Linked DNA regions of Arabidopsis thaliana. The protein of the gene in region 1 interacts with the protein of each later gene in a biochemical or structural test. Each region holds a gene or a part of one and is shown in the gene's direction. Other genes may lie near its edges. The genes, in order: MPK6, ZAT6, EXT-like and NIA2.

Region 1 (5,155 bases):
GAAGCTTGGAAAGCAAAGATAAATAACGGGTTTGGTTGGACATATCAAGCCAGTGAGGATTAGACCTTAGATGGAACCTTGGTGTCAGTGTCCACCTGTTTTTGGCCTTCGAACTTGTCTATAGCCACTTGAAGCTCGTCTGTGCCACCAACCGCCCTCATTGTGTAGAAGTATACCCCAAAAACAAAAGCTGTCAAGCCACCAGCTACAACCGTGTTCTTGCCTTTTGGGCCTAGGTAACTAAAACCTGGAAATCCCGCCATTACTTCAAAGTCTTTAACCTGCAAGATCCAATGTGTCACATGTTACAGAAGAGACCCAAGTATCAGAAGTATTAGATTATGTTATATCTTCAATATCACAGTTTCATAAATACTAAGATGAGGAATAACAAGAGAGAACTCTGAAGCATGATATAACAACTTTTGATTACTCTTTTTAACATTGCAGAAGTGACTCCAGAAGCCCTGAGGCATCGCAGGACATTGACATATTGTTCATATAGTGAAAAACAGATTACACAGATTGAATACGACGAATTTTCGAATTGTTATACTTATACCTCATCCTAAGAACTACTACGCCAAGAGTAAGTGATAGTACTCACAACGAGATCAAAGATGAGTACAATCATGGTATGAATGAACAACTGAAAGTTGCAAAACATTTCAGCAAAATAGAACTTTCTTCTGCATCATAATGGAAACGGAGAGAAAATCAATTGGTCACATTCATGCCCATCAGTCTAACATAATTGTCCACAAAATCAGCGCACTTCCCTTTAACGAGTCAATCAACCATAAATCATCAACCAAAGCAAAAATAAAGGCAATTAGAAACCTAACTCTACATCTATACATCCAAAGCTAACATCTTTTAAACGCAGGCTACTGTTACTCAACCAAAGTTCTCAAAACCAGATCAAAATGTCAAAATGAAAGGAGAGCAGAAAATATCAATCAAAAATTGGTTCTTTAAGCAAATTACTCCAAAGTCCACAAAATTAAAATGGAATCGAAAGGAACCTGGTGATGAAGGTTTGATGATCACTCGAAAATCCGAAAGATACAACAAAGCTGATATTTTTTTCTTCTACAGAGAATCGTGCCTAAATGCGACAGAAGCCTAAAGTTTCCCTATTTAGTTGACAACTGGTTCGGTGACGCTTAGTGTCGTGGCCACTTACCAATCTATCGAAAACCCTAAACCCAGTAAGAGCTCTCGTGTGAAAGAGGGATAGAGGCAGAAAGCAAGCCGTCTCGAGTTCGAACCCAACTGTATAACACAAGAGAAGAGATTTATTGCTTCATTATGTAAAAAATATTGAGATGATCCTTGTAATTTTGGAATATTATCAAATTGAACCACCATACTTTTTAAAAATCCAAATAACCCTCAACCAAGCATGTTTCATGTTGTGGCCTCATTCACACTATACGACTATCAAGTTCATCGAAATTCTTGATAGAGAACTTTAAATACTTAAATAGTTAATTTAGATACTATCTAATAACTTTTGGCGGTTTATAAGTTTTTGTGTTTTTCAATCTACATAAAATTTAGCGATTTTTCATGTTACAAAAATAATCTCAAAATTAAAGTACAACCCAAAAACATAATATCAATGATAATAACTACATTTATCTATGATTCATTTTCACCCAACATTTACATTCAAAAAAATGCTGTTGTTACTTGTTAATGATAACGATTAAGGAAGGAAGTCAATGGAACAAAAAAAAAAATGGTGATAAGTCAATGTAAAACGATGCCGTTTGTAACCATAACAGTGTTAAACATGAGAATAAAGGATCAAACTTTGAACAGTGGCTTGCTTGCTTGCTTACACACACGGGTCAAGTGAAGACCCAAAAAAAAATAAAAAAATTAATAGATCCGTACGCACATGACTTTCACTTCTTGTCTCTCAGATCTGTTTTGACCCCAAAACCAACGAATATCAATTTCTCCAATTTCATTCATAATTCACTCACCCCAAAATTACAAAAAAAAAAAAAAAAAAAGATTTTCCATTTCCCTCTTCTCGATCCACCACCACCACCAACCTCAAAAGCTTTCATCTTTACCGGTCATGGACGGTGGTTCAGGTCAACCGGCGGCTGATACAGAGATGACAGAAGCTCCTGGAGGTTTTCCCGCGGCGGCTCCATCGCCTCAGATGCCTGGGATTGAGAATATTCCGGCGACTCTTAGCCATGGTGGTAGGTTTATTCAGTATAACATATTTGGAAACATCTTCGAGGTCACCGCTAAGTATAAGCCTCCGATCATGCCTATTGGCAAGGGTGCTTATGGCATCGTTTGGTAATTTTTCTCCGATTCTTTTGATTTTTGGCTTTTGCTTCTAATTGAAATAAAAAATGATTTTTGTTGATTGGGTTTTGGTAAAGTTGGTTACTTTTGATCCGCAATTTGTAAAATTGATTCCTTTGTATCGTTTTTGAGCTCTAATTATGATTGGGATTTATTTTTGTTTCAATGAAAGCTTTATCCTTTTGTGGTTTTATTTGATTTTGATTTTGCAGTTCGGCTATGAATTCTGAAACTAACGAGAGCGTTGCGATTAAGAAAATTGCTAACGCTTTTGACAATAAGATTGATGCTAAGAGGACTCTCCGTGAGATCAAGCTGCTTCGTCACATGGATCATGAAAATGTCAGTTTTTGCTCTTTCTTTGTTAACTAAGAGTCATCTGTTTATAGAGTCTTATGTAGAACATAATAGGATTGTAGATTTAAATACACTCGAAACATGGTAACTACTAGCTGATGCAAAATTGTTTAGGTAAATAGATGATGTATATATTTGATTGATATTGTATGGGCTGATTAGGTTCTGTGTATGAATGTGTTGTATCTGGTGGTTGCTTATTGCATTTAGATTTAAGGGAATATACATGAATGTTGACACAGTGTGCTTGTATTTTTTTCGGTTTGATACGGATTGTTTCGCGCTTATTCAGTAGTATGATCTTTTCCATCTGCGTCAAGATTTTAAATTCTAGAAATCAAATCGTAAAATGTAACCGTTTATCTATGTTGGCGTTTGCAACGTGTAAAACATTTCCGATTGATAAAACACTTACCATCTTTCTGTTAAATCAGATTGTTGCAATCAGAGATATTATCCCGCCACCATTAAGAAACGCTTTCAACGATGTTTACATCGCGTATGAGTTAATGGACACTGATCTCCATCAAATCATTCGGTCAAATCAAGCATTATCCGAAGAACATTGCCAGGTTTTGAGTTTTGAGATTGTTTGTTGACCTATATAACTCGACTTGAAAACGGGGACTAATTGAACTCCATTTCACTTGTCTCTTTGTGCAGTATTTTCTTTACCAGATCCTCCGTGGATTGAAATACATTCACTCTGCAAATGTGCTTCACAGGGATTTGAAACCAAGTAATCTCCTCCTGAACGCAAACTGCGACCTAAAAATCTGCGATTTTGGGCTAGCTCGAGTCACTTCTGAGAGTGATTTCATGACTGAATATGTTGTCACGAGATGGTACCGTGCACCAGAGCTTCTCTTAAACTCTTCTGATTATACTGCAGCTATCGATGTTTGGTCTGTAGGCTGTATTTTCATGGAGTTAATGGACCGTAAGCCACTCTTCCCTGGACGAGATCATGTCCATCAGCTTCGCTTGCTCATGGAGGTAAGTAGTAACCCTTCTTTGACCCAAAAATAAGCTTTGAAGCACTAAAGAAACAGACCGAGACCATTTTCTTTTTGCAGCTCATAGGAACTCCATCAGAAGAAGAGCTCGAGTTCTTGAACGAAAACGCAAAGCGATACATAAGACAGCTTCCACCTTATCCTCGCCAATCCATCACTGATAAGTTCCCGACAGTGCATCCTTTAGCTATAGACCTTATCGAGAAGATGTTAACATTTGATCCTAGACGGAGAATCACAGGTTAGTCCCTAACCTCTATACCATTTTTAACTTGCAAAATAACTGGAATTGCTTGTACGGATCATTCCAAAATCCCGAAAAAAGATTCAATCTAGTGAAGGAATAATAATAATGAGTTCTTGGTTATTTAAGAGTTAGTTAGTAGTCATCACCTCTTATTGATTCTTGATTCTCGATTCTTGATTCAGTTTTAGACGCATTGGCCCATCCATACCTGAACTCGTTGCACGACATAAGCGATGAGCCAGAGTGTACAATACCTTTCAACTTTGATTTTGAAAACCATGCACTCTCAGAGGAGCAGATGAAGGAACTAATCTACCGCGAGGCGCTTGCTTTCAATCCAGAATATCAGCAATAGTTTGAAGAACAGCATTTGGGAGATGAAGATGAGATAAGGGTTTGGCGTTATTTGGTTTGGACAACATTCTTAAAAGGAGGAAAGATCATTGTTTGTCTTTTGTGTATACTTGTGAGAGATGTTGAAGGGGATGGGTCTCAAACTTTATATTTCAGTCTTTTGGATAATTTGTTCTCTCTGTTTTTTTTTTTCCTATTCGTATTTGTAATTTGCCCTCATTTTGTTGTTGCAGTTATTTAAGACTTAAATTGTCTCAGAAATAGTTATGTTATGATAGCCCACCTTCAATTCCTCTACAAAATACTTGCCATTACTGTCAGCTTTCTTGTTTTATAAAACAGCAGGGAGAGAAATATTGCAGGGAGATGAGGATAGTACAAATCATGTCCTCGGGGTGAAAATTGAGCATTTGATGAACACAATCTCAAGTCTTGCACTGTGTCAACTCTTAAGACTGCCAAAGAATTTTGATTGTGGTGCAGGACCATCAGCCTCATCTTTACTTTGGTTTTGAGTGTCTGCCTCTAGACTTGTGTTTCCTCTCCCTCTTTGGCCTCTTAGAACTTGACCTTGACTTCCTAGATTCGTCTTTGTCACTACTTGAAGATTCAGAAGATGAGCTTGAGTCTGATGATCGCCTTTTCGAATGCTGCAAATCAATAAACACAATGTAAGCTAAAAGCTTCAAGCCAACAGAATTATAGAAGATGTTCAAACTAAACTCGATGCAGTTGTTATGTAAGCACCTTTCTCTTTTTGCTTTTCTTCCTCTTGGAATCTCTGCACTTTCTATCTGTGAGCTCTCTCTCCTTCCTATCTGTAAGATCAAATGGCATATTAGAAAAG
Region 2 (3,567 bases), on another chromosome or scaffold:
CTAATATCACAAAAAGATATATATTCTAATTAATAATCCATGATTTAGAACATATTTTGTTTTCTCATAAAATATCTTAGAAAATAATATTTGAAAAAATAAGTAGCCATCAAGAAAAAGGAACAAACATAAGTAAAAAGAGGAAACGATAGAAGTTTCATGTTGGAGAGAAAGAGGAGGGAGATGGTGATGAATTTTTCCGTTCGAAACTACGACGACCTAATTAAAATATGACGTATATATAGCCAACATTCATATGTAATGACATATTTTCGAGTCTCCGATATATTACATTCTGTGTTATTAATTTATCCTAGATATATAGTACTATACATTGACATCAAACCAAGAATACTAATTATAACATAAAATTAAGAGCAACTGGTTATGATTGGTTTACATCCAGATGTACATAAATTCAGGAGTCCTCTGGTTAAAGGACAAGTAGATTCCTTTTTCACCGGCGAACCATGTAGCATTTGCATTATTTTTCTGAGAGGTGTTCATACTTGACTTGTAAGCTATAAACGAACGGTGATGCGCCCAATGGTAACCCTGGTGTAGATTGCATATAAATTGTGTCTCATGGAAGAAAGCATCTTTGAAACGCCAAGTTTGTGGTGGATCATTGTGACGCAAGTACATGGTCTTAAAATCGTCGTCCCCTGAATAACAATGGAGCTTCAGGGTTGCGTTTTTTGGTAACCTGTTTACTATCATTAATACGTTTCTCCCATGCGTATCTCCAATGTAAAACACTAAAACAATGAGAACAATTGTGAGACGTTTCATTTTGTTTTTCTGGGGATGTTAATTAGATTGTTTTTATTTTTTTGTTTATTTATTTATTTATAAAGATTGCGATTTTGATGTATTTATATATACAAATTTGATCAGTATATGTTTTTTGAGGTTGTGCTTTAAATTCTGTCTTCTCTTTATTTTTTGAGGTTATGCGTTAAAATTAGGAATGGCTCGAGTGGTCATCATGTAGAAATGGCTTGAGTGGTTAAAATTAGAAGTGGCTCGAGTGTTCTACTTGCAATTTTTGTGGAGGAATTGTTAATAAATATTTCAACCATAAACTTAATAAAATGGTTAAAAAAATTTCGTCTATTCCTAGGTTTATAGTAACCTTTCTTTTCGTACTTTGGCGAAACATTCCCTTTGTTATATCATTATATCTTTTAATTCTAACATTCTTTTCTTCGTTTTTAGTTGGATGCTTTATTAATAGATGAATTTTAAAAATATCATAGATTTAATCACTGATGCCCAATACAAATTTGTCAACATGATATAGTTTGCCAAACCTAAAGAAGAAACATAGATAAAGGTTACATTAGAAGGGGGGCACTATAGTGGCACTAGTTCACTAGGTCATTCCTTTCACCCAAGTTCGAAACCTCACCTTTTAAGCGGTTACATATTCATCTCTCAAGTGGGCCTCGAGATTAAAATTAAAAAGGTTACGTTGATATTGATGGGTTTAGACATTAATAGTAGGTATTAATTCGATAAGTTATGAAAAGACAGTAAAACTGGTTAAGTAGCCGACTTAATTTGGCCTTTTGTATCTCCACTTGGTTGGTTGGTTGGTTGGTTGGTCAGCAAAACACCTAAGTGAGAGCTCTCTAGAATATTCTTAAGTGATAAGAATTGAAGAAGGCGGCATTACTTACTTACTAGAAAGAAATGAGAACAAGTCTTCTTAGCCGACTTCCACAAACACGTGTACCAAGTCAAACCAAATGTGCCCAAACCAAACTTAGATACTTTCACTTTTCATCTCTAGTCCACACAACATTATATATAATTAAAATAAATATATCAAATTAAAGTGATTATCGACTTCTTCACTCTTCTTCAACTCTTTCTCATCTCTCGACACGCAACTTCCTTCCTCTTCAGACTCCTCTGACTTTACTATATATAACACACACACTTTCATTTCTTGTTTCTTCAAATCAAATCTTTTCATTTACAATTATCTTTCTTCTCAATTTAGAACTTAGTAGCTAGTCTTCAAGATAATGGCACTTGAAACTCTTACTTCTCCAAGATTATCTTCTCCGATGCCGACTCTGTTTCAAGATTCAGCACTAGGGTTTCATGGAAGCAAAGGCAAACGATCTAAGCGATCAAGATCTGAATTCGACCGTCAGAGTCTCACGGAGGATGAATATATCGCTTTATGTCTCATGCTTCTTGCTCGCGACGGAGATAGAAACCGTGACCTTGACCTGCCTTCTTCTTCGTCTTCACCTCCTCTGCTTCCTCCTCTTCCTACTCCGATCTACAAGTGTAGCGTCTGTGACAAGGCGTTTTCGTCTTACCAGGCTCTTGGTGGACACAAGGCAAGTCACCGGAAAAGCTTTTCGCTTACTCAATCTGCCGGAGGAGATGAGCTGTCGACATCGTCGGCGATAACCACGTCTGGTATATCCGGTGGCGGGGGAGGAAGTGTGAAGTCGCACGTTTGCTCTATCTGTCATAAATCGTTCGCCACCGGTCAAGCTCTCGGCGGCCACAAACGGTGCCACTACGAAGGAAAGAACGGAGGCGGTGTGAGTAGTAGCGTGTCGAATTCTGAAGATGTGGGGTCTACAAGCCACGTCAGCAGTGGCCACCGTGGGTTTGACCTCAACATACCGCCGATACCGGAATTCTCGATGGTCAACGGAGACGAAGAGGTGATGAGTCCTATGCCGGCGAAGAAACTCCGGTTTGACTTCCCGGAGAAACCCTAAACATAAACCTAGGAAAAACTTTACAGAATTCATTTTATAGGAAATTGTTTTACTGTATATACAAATATCGATTTTGATTGATGTTCTTCTTCACTGAAAAATTATGATTCTTTGTTGTATAATTGATGTTTCTGAAAAAGATATAACTTTTTATTGTTTCACACGTATCAAAATTTGCTTGGATACATCATACATAATAAGAGAGCATATCGAAAGTGACTAATTTACGGGCCAGTTTGTTAATCCGTTGGACTAGCCTACTTAGTTTGGTAGGCCGGTATGACCTAACTTACAAGTTTTGAGCCCATCATATATCCAACCATACTTCCACATAGGCTCGTCGTGACCAGCAACACCCAACAAGTTGATCTCCCATCATCTTACATCACATAAATATAAATGTACTGAATCTAAGAACAAAAAGAGAGCTTTTCTTTTTATATGCCATAATTTCTTTATAAAGTGTAAAGTTAACTCCATGTGATTATATGACTATAAAAATTAGGTGTACCCCAAATTTAAAATGATCTAATGAGATTGAACGACGCATTAGTAAAGAGTAAAGACCAAGATCCTTTTTATCAGATATGTACCATTTTGGGAACATCATTGTATGACCTAAATGAGTTCTTAAAATATACAAAGCTTTTCGGCCACAACCTGCTAACATAGTTTGATCGACACACAGAGCGATAACTATAAGAAAAACAAAGATAATATTTATACTTGAGATGGAGTTTTTCTTCTTCTACTTAATTATTGTATATTACTAGAGAAATTTATTCACCTAAGTAGTTTAATTTGTCTATATTAAAAA
Region 3 (5,185 bases), on another chromosome or scaffold:
GGTCAGTTTAGGCTGCACATATGTTGAAATCCTTTCTGATTAATTGCGCTGAAAGTTTGTAACTTTTCTCTGCACCATTCTTGTTTGTGGATTTCATTAATGTATCTTGGTTTTATGCAGCTTCAAGAACTAGCTACTCAGCTAACTGATCTATGGAATCTGATGGATACTTCTGATGAGGAAAGGGAGCTTTTTGACCATGTTACCTCTAACATTTCAGCTTCAGTTCATGAAGTGACTGCCTCTGGTGCTCTCGCACTTGATCTTATCGAACAGGTATCGTAAATTTGTAATGTATCAATCAATGTGTATGATAAGTACTGCTTTTAAAAATCTTCTGTGAACTCTTGAAGGCTGAGGTGGAAGTGGATAGGCTTGATCAACTGAAATCTAGCAGAATGAAGGAAATTGCATTCAAAAAGCAATCAGAGCTTGAGGAGATATATGCTCGTGCTCACATAGAAATAAAACCAGAGGTTGTTCGTGAGAGGATCATGTCGTTGATTGATGCTGGGAATACTGAACCTACTGAGTTACTGGCTGACATGGATAGCCAGATCGCAAAGGCCAAGGAGGAAGCCTTTAGTAGAAAAGAAATTTTAGACCGTGTAGAGAAATGGATGTCAGCTTGTGAGGAAGAGAGCTGGCTCGAAGATTACAATCGAGTATGCTAACATTGGCTATGTTAATAAACACATTACTTATTAAGCATAGAGTTCAATTGATGATTCTTTTGGGTTTTTGTTCTGGAAAAACAGGATCAGAACAGGTATAGTGCAAGCCGAGGTGCGCATTTGAATCTCAAGAGAGCTGAGAAAGCTCGGATTCTGGTCAGCAAGATTACTGGTAAGAACTTCCAAAAGTCTCTCTTAGTTATTACTACACATAGAATTAAACTGAGACTGAAGAATATATCATACTTTGTTTGTGCAAGCTATGGTTGACACGTTGATTGCTAAAACCCGGGCATGGGAAGAGGAGAACAGTATGTCCTTTGAGTACGATGGAGTTCCTTTACTCGCCATGCTAGATGAATACACTATGCTTAGGCAAGAACGAGAAGATGAGAAGCGGAGGCTGAAAGTAAGTTGTTTCATCCTGTGTTAAACCGATTGTTGAAACTAACTTCTTTTAAAATAATCTTGCCTTTTCATTAACAGGAACAGAAGAAGCAGCAAGAACAGCCACACACAGATCAAGAATCCGCCTTTGGGTCTAAACCAAGCCCTGCAAGACCCGTTAGTGCCAAGAAACCGGTGGGAACACGAGTCAATGGAGGAGGGCTCAACGAAACTCCTATGAGGCGTTTGTCTATGAACTCAAACCAGAACGGAAGCAAGTCCAAGAGAGACAGTCTGAACAAGATAGCTTCACCTTCGAACATTGTAGCCAACACAAAAGATGATGCTGCATCTCCAGTCTCTCGTGCTGACCCAGTGATGGCTTCACCGTGACAATATCAAAAGAAAGAGAGTTATAATGCTTACTTACACTTTTGTTAGTTGCTAATAGTGCTGTTTAAGAAACAAACACTTAGAAACAAAGACAATGAGAGTAGAATGTTACTTAGATGTTTCTGTTTCTGTATTCATTCACTCAAATTTGTTTGGTACTTGTTAGCATGACTAATGTGAAGTGACCGGTTTAGTGAATGAAAGTCAAGGTTCTAATTGGAATTACGAAATAATATTTGGGCAAAATTGTAATATACTGAAAGATCTTTTGGGCATGATTTAAAAGTTTAAAAAGTTTCCAAGAAGGTTTGGGATTTTAGAGGTCCTTTCTGCGACGTCGTTTCTAGTTTGCAATCAGAAGCGCGTTAAATACAGGAAAATTTCTTGAGCTGTTTTGTCTTAACAAATCAATCGGAGAAAAAGCTACGGAGCTCGAGAGAAGAGAGAATCTATGTCGAACCCAAACGAACCAGCCAGGGCTCTTCTGCCTTACCTGCAACGTGCCGATGAGCTGCAGAAGCATGAACCACTTGTTGCTTATTACTGTGAGTTTCGTTTTCTTATCTATATCTAACCTAGATGATCGCCTCCTGCGATTGTGTGTATTCATGGAATTTTGTGATTGATTAGGTCGGCTATATGCAATGGAACGAGGATTGAAGATTCCGCAGAGCGAGAGAACTAAGACCACCAATTCGATTCTCATGTCTCTCATTAATCAACTCGAAAAGGTATTACCTTTGAAGTTTTAAATTGTGAGTTTTTCTGATTTATTTCAGCTTGTTTGATTTTTTACTTGTTTAGATTTGAAAGGACCGGTTCTTAGTAATTCTCATGATGTGTTTGACTTTGATTATTATATGTTGTTACTTGTTACAAAGCTGGAGTTTTTTTATTTATGTTTGTGTTTGGTAAGGAGGCTTATATCTAAATTTAGCTTAGGTTTGTTCATGTGATTGACAGAGTTCATGAGGCAATTTCTTGATTAGTTCCAGTTTCTTATGGCGATTTCTTTTTTGTGTAACTCCAGGATAAAAAATCATTGACTCTGTCCCCAGATGACAATATGCATGTGGAGGGGTTTGCACTTAGTGTCTTTGCTAAGGCAGACAAGCAGGATCGTGCAGGAAGAGCAGACTTGTAAGAATTTTTTTTGCTCTTATGTTTGATTATATATAGAATGGCATTTTTTTTGCCCTCAAGTTTCTAATAATTTTAGGGTCACCGTCAACACTAGCTCAATGAGTCGAATTAGCATGATTCTATAGATTCATTGTCTGTCTAGTATTATTGTGTTTGCCAATACTGGAAATAGCGTGCAAGTACACATACATTTACAATGAGTATGCATGTCCGGCAGACATGTTTTTAGGTGATACCTTCCTCTACCATCGTTTAAGATAGCGGGTTAAGTAATTAGTTGGATGCATCCAAGGCTTATCTCGACCTGTTGTCTTCTACCTGTTCTGCTTTTGCGAAATACCTGTATCTCCAGCATTGATGTGTTTCTATGCATGGTTGGATACTGATATTAGTTCGATTACTGTCTGTATCCTTATTTTATAAGTGCTAACACCTGCATTCATTTGACTCAATTACATAGGCTTCCGAGTTGCGATGGATTATCCAAATTAACTTTGTTGTGCTTGTGACAGGGGCACTGCCAAAACTTTTTATGCTGCGAGCATCTTCTTTGAAATTCTGAGCCAGTTTGGTCCCGTACCTCCTGATGTAAGTTCCTACTTCTTTTTTTATTCACTTAACATCACCTTAAGAGGCAGCTGTGTTGGGAGATTGATATGTGTATATATGTAATGGCTCCCATTAACAGATAGAGCAGAAACACAAGTATGCTGCTTGGAAGGCTGCTGACATAAGGAAAGCCATTAAAGAAGGAAGGAAGCCCACTCCAGGTGATCCTGTGGATGATGATACTGATTTATCCATCCCATCAAGCGGTCCTAGTGGCTCCTATGTAAGTTTCTCTTCTTGAATATTTATGGATTGGAAATATCTTGATATTGGCTTAGCGTGTATTCTGTCCAATAATATCGAAAAGTGTTTAGGAGCGTAAATGTTTATAGAATTCGCATAGCGCTGATCAAAATCATCTAGCTAGAGACACACACATTCACACCCACCTGTGTACTTTTAGGTTTTTGTTTTCTCAATTGTCAAAACACTATGATAAAACGTCTGCATCAACTTAATCGATTCATTGTTTGTGCATGTTAATTATCTACAGGATCACAGTGCAAGTGATACCAACACAACAAGTCATCATAGAACAGAGCTTGATCCACCCCATGACTCGAATGATGACTCCAGCCACCATCAATTCCCTGAAGTGCCACAACACCCTCTACCTCCCAGGTTTTATGACAATCCGACCAACGATTATCCCGCAGATGTCCCACCTCCACCACCGTCTTCTTACCCTTCCAACGATCATCTTCCCCCTCCCACAGGACCATCAGACTCCCCTTACCCGCATCCTTACAGTCATCAACCATACCACCAAGACCCGCCAAAACACATGCCGCCACCGCAAAACTACTCATCTCATGAGCCTTCTCCAAATTCTCTCCCTAATTTCCAATCTTATCCTAGCTTTAGTGAGAGCAGCCTCCCATCCACTTCTCCCCACTACCCTTCTCACTACCAAAACCCAGAACCTTACTATTCTTCTCCGCACTCTGCACCTGCTCCTTCTTCCACAAGCTTCTCCTCTGCTCCTCCTCCTCCACCTTACTCATCAAACGGGCGTATCAATATTGCTCCCGTGCTAGATCCTGCACCGAGTTCAGCTCAGAAGTACCATTACGATAGCAGCTACCAGCCAGGGCCTGAGAAGGTTGCAGAGGCACTCAAGGCTGCTAGATTCGCTGTGGGAGCTTTGGCTTTTGATGAAGTCTCGACTGCTGTAGAACATCTCAAGAAGTCACTTGAGTTGCTAACAAATCCATCGGCCGGTGCCGGTCACTGAATTTTATATCTAATCTATGACACTTGGGGTTGATGTTAGTGCGTGTGTGTGTTCTCAACATTTGTGGGTTTGTTTATTAACTTTTCAGGCTCAGACTTCGTTTACAAAGAAAATTTGTGTGAATTATTCTTATTATCATAAAATTTTCCTTGCAACTTCGTGTACATTCATACATACATAGGCAATGGAGTTCCTCTTCAGTCTTCACGTAAAGAGCGAGTGTGGGACACGCACTCATGTAGCGGGTGGTGTTAGTACTCGAGGTTGGGCCTATATAAAAGCCCATAGAGGCCCGAATTACTGAATTTAGCAGACAAGAATAGAAAGAGTGATGAAACATGGAAGAAAACGTGTCTCTAGAGTCATGTCAAGTGTAAGACAGAGGAAGAGAGAAGAGATGTGCGTCAAAGACAAGGAAAGAGAGATGTCAATCGCTGCTTTCGTCGGCGCGTGCATGTCCGCCACGCACATCAATCAAATCGATTCTTATTATTATTACCTCATTATACTCTTTACTCTAAGACAAACACATACATTTGCACTCAGTCTAGAGACAAAGTGAGAGAGAGATGGGGTCAAAGACGGAGATGATGGAGAGAGACGCAATGGCTACGGTGGCTCCCTATGCGCCGGTCACTTACCATCGCCGTGCTCGTGTTGACTTGGATGATAGACTTCCTAAACCTTGTAAAACCTTTCTCTCGCTACTTGCATTTTTTTATCCCTAATTGATTTCAATATATTG
Region 4 (5,957 bases), on another chromosome or scaffold:
ATCACTCGTCCCTAATTCCCTATATTAACTATACTATATATATTGTATTGATTATCTTATTTGTAAAGTTAGGTATATAAAAATCATATATATTGAAACTGCTATATGCAAGTAGTCTTATTTAAGAAATTGTGCTATGAAATAGAAATTGTTGTATGGATAGTAATAGTCTTCGCAACAAATTTAGTTTTCATTGTTTGACACTTTAACATGAAAGGTTAGCATAAAAAAAAATAAAGTGGAAACTTGAAATCAACTAAATTTTCATGTTCCTTTTTAAAGTATAAAACTTAAACATAATATAAATAGTACCATATGATTTAAACTTAAACTGTCTTTTTTACTTTTTTTTCTTTCACAGATTTAATCTTCATCTCACATCTCAAAAGATAAATTTTTATTCTGCAGTAAAAAATTCATTAGCAAACTCTCTTTAATTAAATATCAAAATATGTTTTTTAATGTAAAAATATTAATTAATATCTTAAACTTTGTCTTTTTAGTGAAATATCTTATATATTATAACAGAAGAAGTATATATATATATATATATATAAAAAAAATAAAGATGTATATTGGTTACCCAAAATTAGAAGTTCACAAGAAAATCAATATTCAATATTTACTCAATGAAATTTTCAACAAAAAAAAGTCTTAAATAAAGAAAGATTTACCCACTGAATCTGCTGAACCCGTGGCTCCGTCGGTTTTGATTAGTCACCGCCATTCTTTCCGAAGAAAAACAATAATAACAGTAATACTAATATATAGGTGGCTGTAATGTTGCATCTTGATCAAAAAGAGAAATAATTTTGTAGTTATTTTAAGGAAAAAGATGAACGTGATCATTTTCCATCATTCAGTTTTTTTTTTTTTTTCATTTTCCAACATTCATACATAGGTATTTTAAACTTTTAGATGATTCAAGGAACTATTTTAGGTTATAATAATGTATACAAAAAATTAGATTACTCAATAATTAATATCTCATCAATATTGCTGAAAATCACATCTGTTAATTTTATCAAAAAAAAATATTACTAAAAAACAGTTTAATAAGAAAATATTACTGAAAATAACGTTTAATAAGAAAATAAATATTGTATGATTATTAGATTTTTTCTGATAATATGTTTAATTGATTTATCAAATCTCAAGAATAAAAGGAACGTTGTTCCTATGTTTAACTGAAGGATATAAGAACATTGATAAACTTCTAAACTAGAACCAGGGGTAAAAGGATTATCAAATCTCAATAATAAAAGGAACGTTCTTCCTATGTTAACACATTGATAATTCTTTAATTTACTGGTAAAAAATATACGGTTTACAAAATATATATATATATATATATATATATATATATATATATATATATATATACGGTTTTAATAGTTACCGATCACAAAAACTATTAAAATTAATAGTATGAAAATATTATCACCACGATTTTTGTATTACTAATTTTATTGCTCTTAATTATTTTGTCATCTTTTATCGTTATTTTTCCATTAAAAATAAATACGGCTTTGTGTCACGAATAAGAAAACATATTTTTTAGTAAAACAAATTCGACTAAAATAAAAAGGAAAATGTTTTGATCACATTTTTATATTGTATTACAGGAAATAACCAATGATAGATAATAATATATTATTCAATTGTCATCATTTCTTAGTTGACAAAAAAAAATCTATACATGTTTCCGAGACGTTAAAAGTATTTACAAAACTACTCCAACAATTCACATTTGTTTTATAACAAATAGGGACAAAAATGATCATTTTAAGCTTATTGAATAACTATGATCGTTTATTTTTGTCAAACAAATGGATGGTTTATTTAATTAAGTCAAGTCATAAGAAAAAATTAATAGTAAGTGTGTAAGAAAAAAATTAAAAAGTCACAAATGGTCCCATACGTGTGATTCGGCACGATACTTCCTAAAAGCATACCACTAGGCTCTCTCCTATATAACTTCATCTCCACCAACGATGCATTTTCGTCCTCAGATCTCATCTCACTCACAAGAGAGAGATAGAGAGAGAAAAAGGCTCTGCTTTCTACATTATTTACGATTATACACTTTCCAACATGGCGGCCTCTGTAGATAATCGCCAATACGCTCGTCTCGAGCCAGGTTTGAACGGCGTGGTTCGTTCTTACAAACCTCCCGTTCCAGGCCGGTCCGATTCCCCTAAGGCGCACCAGAACCAAACCACCAACCAAACCGTGTTCTTGAAACCAGCCAAGGTTCATGACGATGACGAAGACGTGTCGAGCGAAGACGAGAACGAGACACACAACAGCAACGCCGTGTACTACAAGGAGATGATAAGAAAATCCAACGCCGAGCTTGAACCGTCCGTTTTGGACCCGAGGGACGAATACACGGCTGATAGCTGGATCGAGCGTAACCCTTCCATGGTACGTCTCACAGGGAAACATCCCTTCAACTCCGAGGCGCCTCTTAACCGTTTAATGCACCACGGGTTTATCACCCCTGTCCCGTTGCACTACGTTCGTAACCACGGCCACGTCCCTAAAGCCCAATGGGCCGAATGGACGGTCGAGGTGACCGGATTCGTCAAACGGCCCATGAAATTCACCATGGACCAGCTCGTCTCCGAGTTTGCTTACCGCGAGTTCGCCGCGACGCTAGTCTGCGCGGGGAACCGCCGTAAGGAACAGAACATGGTGAAGAAGTCAAAGGGATTCAACTGGGGATCCGCCGGAGTTTCCACCTCCGTGTGGCGTGGTGTCCCTCTCTGCGACGTACTGCGTCGCTGCGGGATCTTTAGCCGAAAAGGCGGCGCTCTCAACGTCTGCTTCGAAGGGTCGGAGGATCTTCCGGGCGGTGCCGGAACTGCTGGTTCCAAATACGGAACGAGCATCAAGAAGGAATATGCCATGGATCCATCAAGAGACATCATTTTGGCTTATATGCAAAACGGAGAGTATCTAACACCAGACCACGGTTTTCCGGTTCGGATCATCATCCCCGGTTTCATTGGTGGCCGGATGGTTAAATGGTTGAAACGAATCATTGTCACAACTAAAGAATCCGACAATTTCTACCATTTCAAGGACAACAGAGTTTTACCTTCTTTGGTAGACGCCGAACTCGCCGACGAAGAAGGTACATAAAATCTTTTTGCTTCAATAAATCTCATTAAGATGAACTAATTGATATGTTTAAAAAGTCTCCGAACCTATAGGAGAAAAACAAAAACAGAAATCATATTAAAAAATGAAAAACTAATGTTGGTGGATGATGTCAGCTTCTGTGACTTACATAAATTCAAATTCAATGGTTTTGTTTTAGGTTGGTGGTATAAGCCAGAGTACATAATCAACGAGCTAAACATAAACTCCGTGATTACGACGCCATGTCACGAGGAGATTCTTCCCATCAACGCTTTCACAACCCAAAGACCTTATACTTTAAAGGGTTACGCATATTCCGGTACTTGTCCTTTTAACATTTTAATTTAATAAATACGTTATTTCATAGGATGATTTAATTTAATAGTAACAATAATCTTTATACAAAAAAAAACAGGAGGTGGAAAAAAAGTGACCCGTGTGGAGGTCACGGTAGATGGTGGAGAGACATGGAACGTATGTGCACTTGACCATCAAGAGAAGCCAAACAAGTATGGGAAGTTCTGGTGTTGGTGTTTTTGGTCACTTGAGGTTGAGGTTTTGGACTTGCTTAGTGCCAAAGAGATTGCTGTTCGTGCATGGGACGAGACTCTCAACACGCAGCCCGAGAAAATGATATGGAATCTCATGGGGATGATGAATAACTGCTGGTTTAGAGTGAAGACTAACGTGTGCAAGCCACACAAGGGAGAGATTGGGATTGTGTTCGAGCATCCAACGCTTCCTGGTAATGAATCTGGTGGATGGATGGCGAAGGAACGTCACCTCGAAAAATCGGCTGACGCGCCTCCTAGTCTAAAGAAGTCTGTCTCGACGCCGTTTATGAACACAACTGCGAAGATGTACTCGATGTCCGAGGTCAAGAAGCATAATTCGGCTGACTCTTGCTGGATCATTGTCCATGGACATATCTATGATTGTACACGATTCCTTATGGATCACCCGGGTGGTTCGGATTCAATCTTGATCAATGCTGGTACGGATTGTACGGAGGAGTTTGAAGCCATTCACTCGGATAAAGCCAAGAAGATGCTTGAGGATTACCGTATCGGTGAGCTCATCACCACTGGTTATTCCTCTGACTCTTCCTCGCCTAACAACTCGGTTCACGGTTCATCCGCCGTGTTCTCGCTGTTGGCTCCCATTGGAGAGGCGACTCCGGTTAGGAACCTCGCTTTGGTTAATCCCCGGGCTAAAGTCCCGGTTCAACTCGTCGAAAAGACTTCCATTTCTCATGATGTTCGTAAATTCCGGTTTGCTTTACCGGTTGAGGATATGGTTCTAGGCTTACCGGTTGGTAAGCACATTTTCCTTTGCGCCACCATCAATGACAAGCTCTGCCTCAGAGCTTACACACCAAGCAGCACCGTTGATGTGGTTGGCTACTTCGAGCTCGTGGTCAAGATTTACTTTGGCGGTGTCCACCCAAGATTCCCTAACGGCGGGCTCATGTCTCAGTACCTAGACTCTTTGCCTATAGGGTCAACTTTGGAGATTAAAGGACCATTGGGTCACGTTGAGTATCTCGGCAAGGGTAGTTTCACGGTTCACGGTAAACCAAAGTTTGCTGATAAATTGGCAATGTTGGCAGGTGGAACCGGAATAACTCCGGTTTACCAAATTATCCAAGCCATTCTCAAGGATCCAGAGGATGAGACTGAAATGTACGTCATTTATGCTAACCGGACCGAGGAAGATATTCTCCTAAGGGAGGAACTGGATGGTTGGGCAGAGCAATACCCGGACCGGTTAAAGGTTTGGTACGTAGTGGAATCAGCTAAGGAAGGTTGGGCATACAGTACCGGGTTTATTTCCGAGGCGATTATGCGAGAACATATCCCTGATGGATTAGATGGCTCAGCCCTTGCCATGGCTTGCGGACCACCACCGATGATTCAGTTTGCGGTTCAGCCGAATTTGGAGAAGATGCAATATAACATCAAGGAGGATTTCTTGATATTCTAGTCTAAAGCCAAGATATTTCAAAGTCAAAACGTTAAGTCGTCAAAAAGCCTAGTGTTATGATAGATTCTAAATAAGTATTGAGGGATTTGTTTGTATATAATGTTGGTTCTTTAAAGTCTTGGATTTGGAAATATAATGTGTTCGTTGTATTCACGATCGATATTTTTTTTCACAATAATATACAAAAAGTAATTTCAGAAATTTTTGTGGTTAGGTTATCGTACATTGAATTTTCTGCGTTTACTTCACATTATGAATATCAATTTGAATATGTTCATTTTTTCATATGTCTTTGTCGTTAAAAAATAAAATAAAAATTCTACAGCTATTAGACACCAATAATCATTTTCAAAGAGAATAAAGCCAAAGCGAAGTAGTTTCCTGTTGTGCAAGTTGAAACCAAACTCGTCCATTAGTTCCTATATTAATCTTCACCACATATATGATTTAAGATTAGGGGGAGTGAATTTACTTTTTTCATTTGTTTTATTAACTTGTAATTTAGAAGACTCTTCCTTTTTGGGTGATTAGTTTAACAATATATCAATCGTTTGAGAATCTTTAGAGTTTTCAGTTAATATTCAATTTGTTCTTATTAAAATTGTACATGTTTATAAAGTATGTTTCTAGCATCCAAACTCTTCTCCATTACAGGATTAGAATTTTAATACAGCATCACAAGTTATGTTCTAAGTTATCCAAAAGGAACATCATATCTATATAAAAATAGTGTGCTATTAAACCGATAGAAAATGTTACGATATATATATATATATATATCTAAATAAAATCATATATCAACGATTCATAACTTCAAGAACTTAAAT

Evidence for each region.
Region 2: the proteins of MPK6 (region 1) and ZAT6 form a complex in vitro, tested with the Arabidopsis thaliana proteins (one study listed by BioGRID).
Region 3: of the proteins of MPK6 (region 1) and EXT-like, one has a biochemical effect on the other in vitro, tested with the Arabidopsis thaliana proteins (one study listed by BioGRID).
Region 4: the proteins of MPK6 (region 1) and NIA2 form a complex in vitro, tested with the Arabidopsis thaliana proteins (one study listed by BioGRID).

What each region holds. Positions count from the first base shown.
Region 1 is NC_003071.7:18,136,385-18,141,539, forward strand, and holds MPK6 (MAP kinase 6), read left to right. Parts: upstream 1-1,861; 5' UTR 1,862-2,092; coding exon 2,093-2,325; exon of another isoform or gene 2,326-2,546; coding exon 2,547-2,676; intron 2,677-3,125; coding exon 3,126-3,263; intron 3,264-3,354; coding exon 3,355-3,687; intron 3,688-3,767; coding exon 3,768-3,948; intron 3,949-4,136; coding exon 4,137-4,309; 3' UTR 4,310-4,604; downstream 4,605-5,155. Other genes in the region: AT2G43780 (cytochrome oxidase assembly protein), read right to left, coding at 60-281, 608-667; AT2G43795 (corepressor), read right to left, coding at 4,751-4,958, 5,056-5,122. UniProt on the Arabidopsis thaliana protein: Mitogen-activated protein kinase (MAPK) which regulates abscisic acid (ABA) responses in a MAPKKK20-MKK5-MPK6 cascade involved in root growth (e.g. root cell division and elongation) and stomatal response.
Region 2 is NC_003076.8:1,215,504-1,219,070, reverse strand, and holds ZAT6 (6), read left to right. Parts: upstream 1-1,708; 5' UTR 1,709-2,033; coding exon 2,034-2,750; 3' UTR 2,751-3,013; downstream 3,014-3,567. UniProt on the Arabidopsis thaliana protein: Probable transcription factor that regulates root development and phosphate (Pi) acquisition and homeostasis. Probably acts as a repressor of primary root growth and regulates Pi homeostasis through the control of root architecture.
Region 3 is NC_003075.7:13,475,103-13,480,287, reverse strand, and holds EXT-like (hydroxyproline-rich glycoprotein family protein), read left to right. Parts: upstream 1-1,764; 5' UTR 1,765-1,905; coding exon 1,906-1,999; intron 2,000-2,084; coding exon 2,085-2,185; intron 2,186-2,484; coding exon 2,485-2,594; intron 2,595-3,109; coding exon 3,110-3,185; intron 3,186-3,285; coding exon 3,286-3,429; intron 3,430-3,699; coding exon 3,700-4,440; 3' UTR 4,441-4,671; downstream 4,672-5,185. Other genes in the region: MAP65-2 (microtubule-associated protein 65-2), read left to right, coding at 121-276, 354-665, 759-846, 935-1,083, 1,161-1,454; ATS1 (peroxygenase 1), read left to right, coding at 5,010-5,127. UniProt on the Arabidopsis thaliana protein: Involved in the endosomal multivesicular bodies (MVB) pathway.
Region 4 is NC_003070.9:14,156,523-14,162,479, forward strand, and holds NIA2 (nitrate reductase 2), read left to right. Parts: upstream 1-1,929; 5' UTR 1,930-2,094; coding exon 2,095-3,139; intron 3,140-3,325; coding exon 3,326-3,466; intron 3,467-3,562; coding exon 3,563-5,130; 3' UTR 5,131-5,416; downstream 5,417-5,957. UniProt on the Arabidopsis thaliana protein: Nitrate reductase is a key enzyme involved in the first step of nitrate assimilation in plants, fungi and bacteria.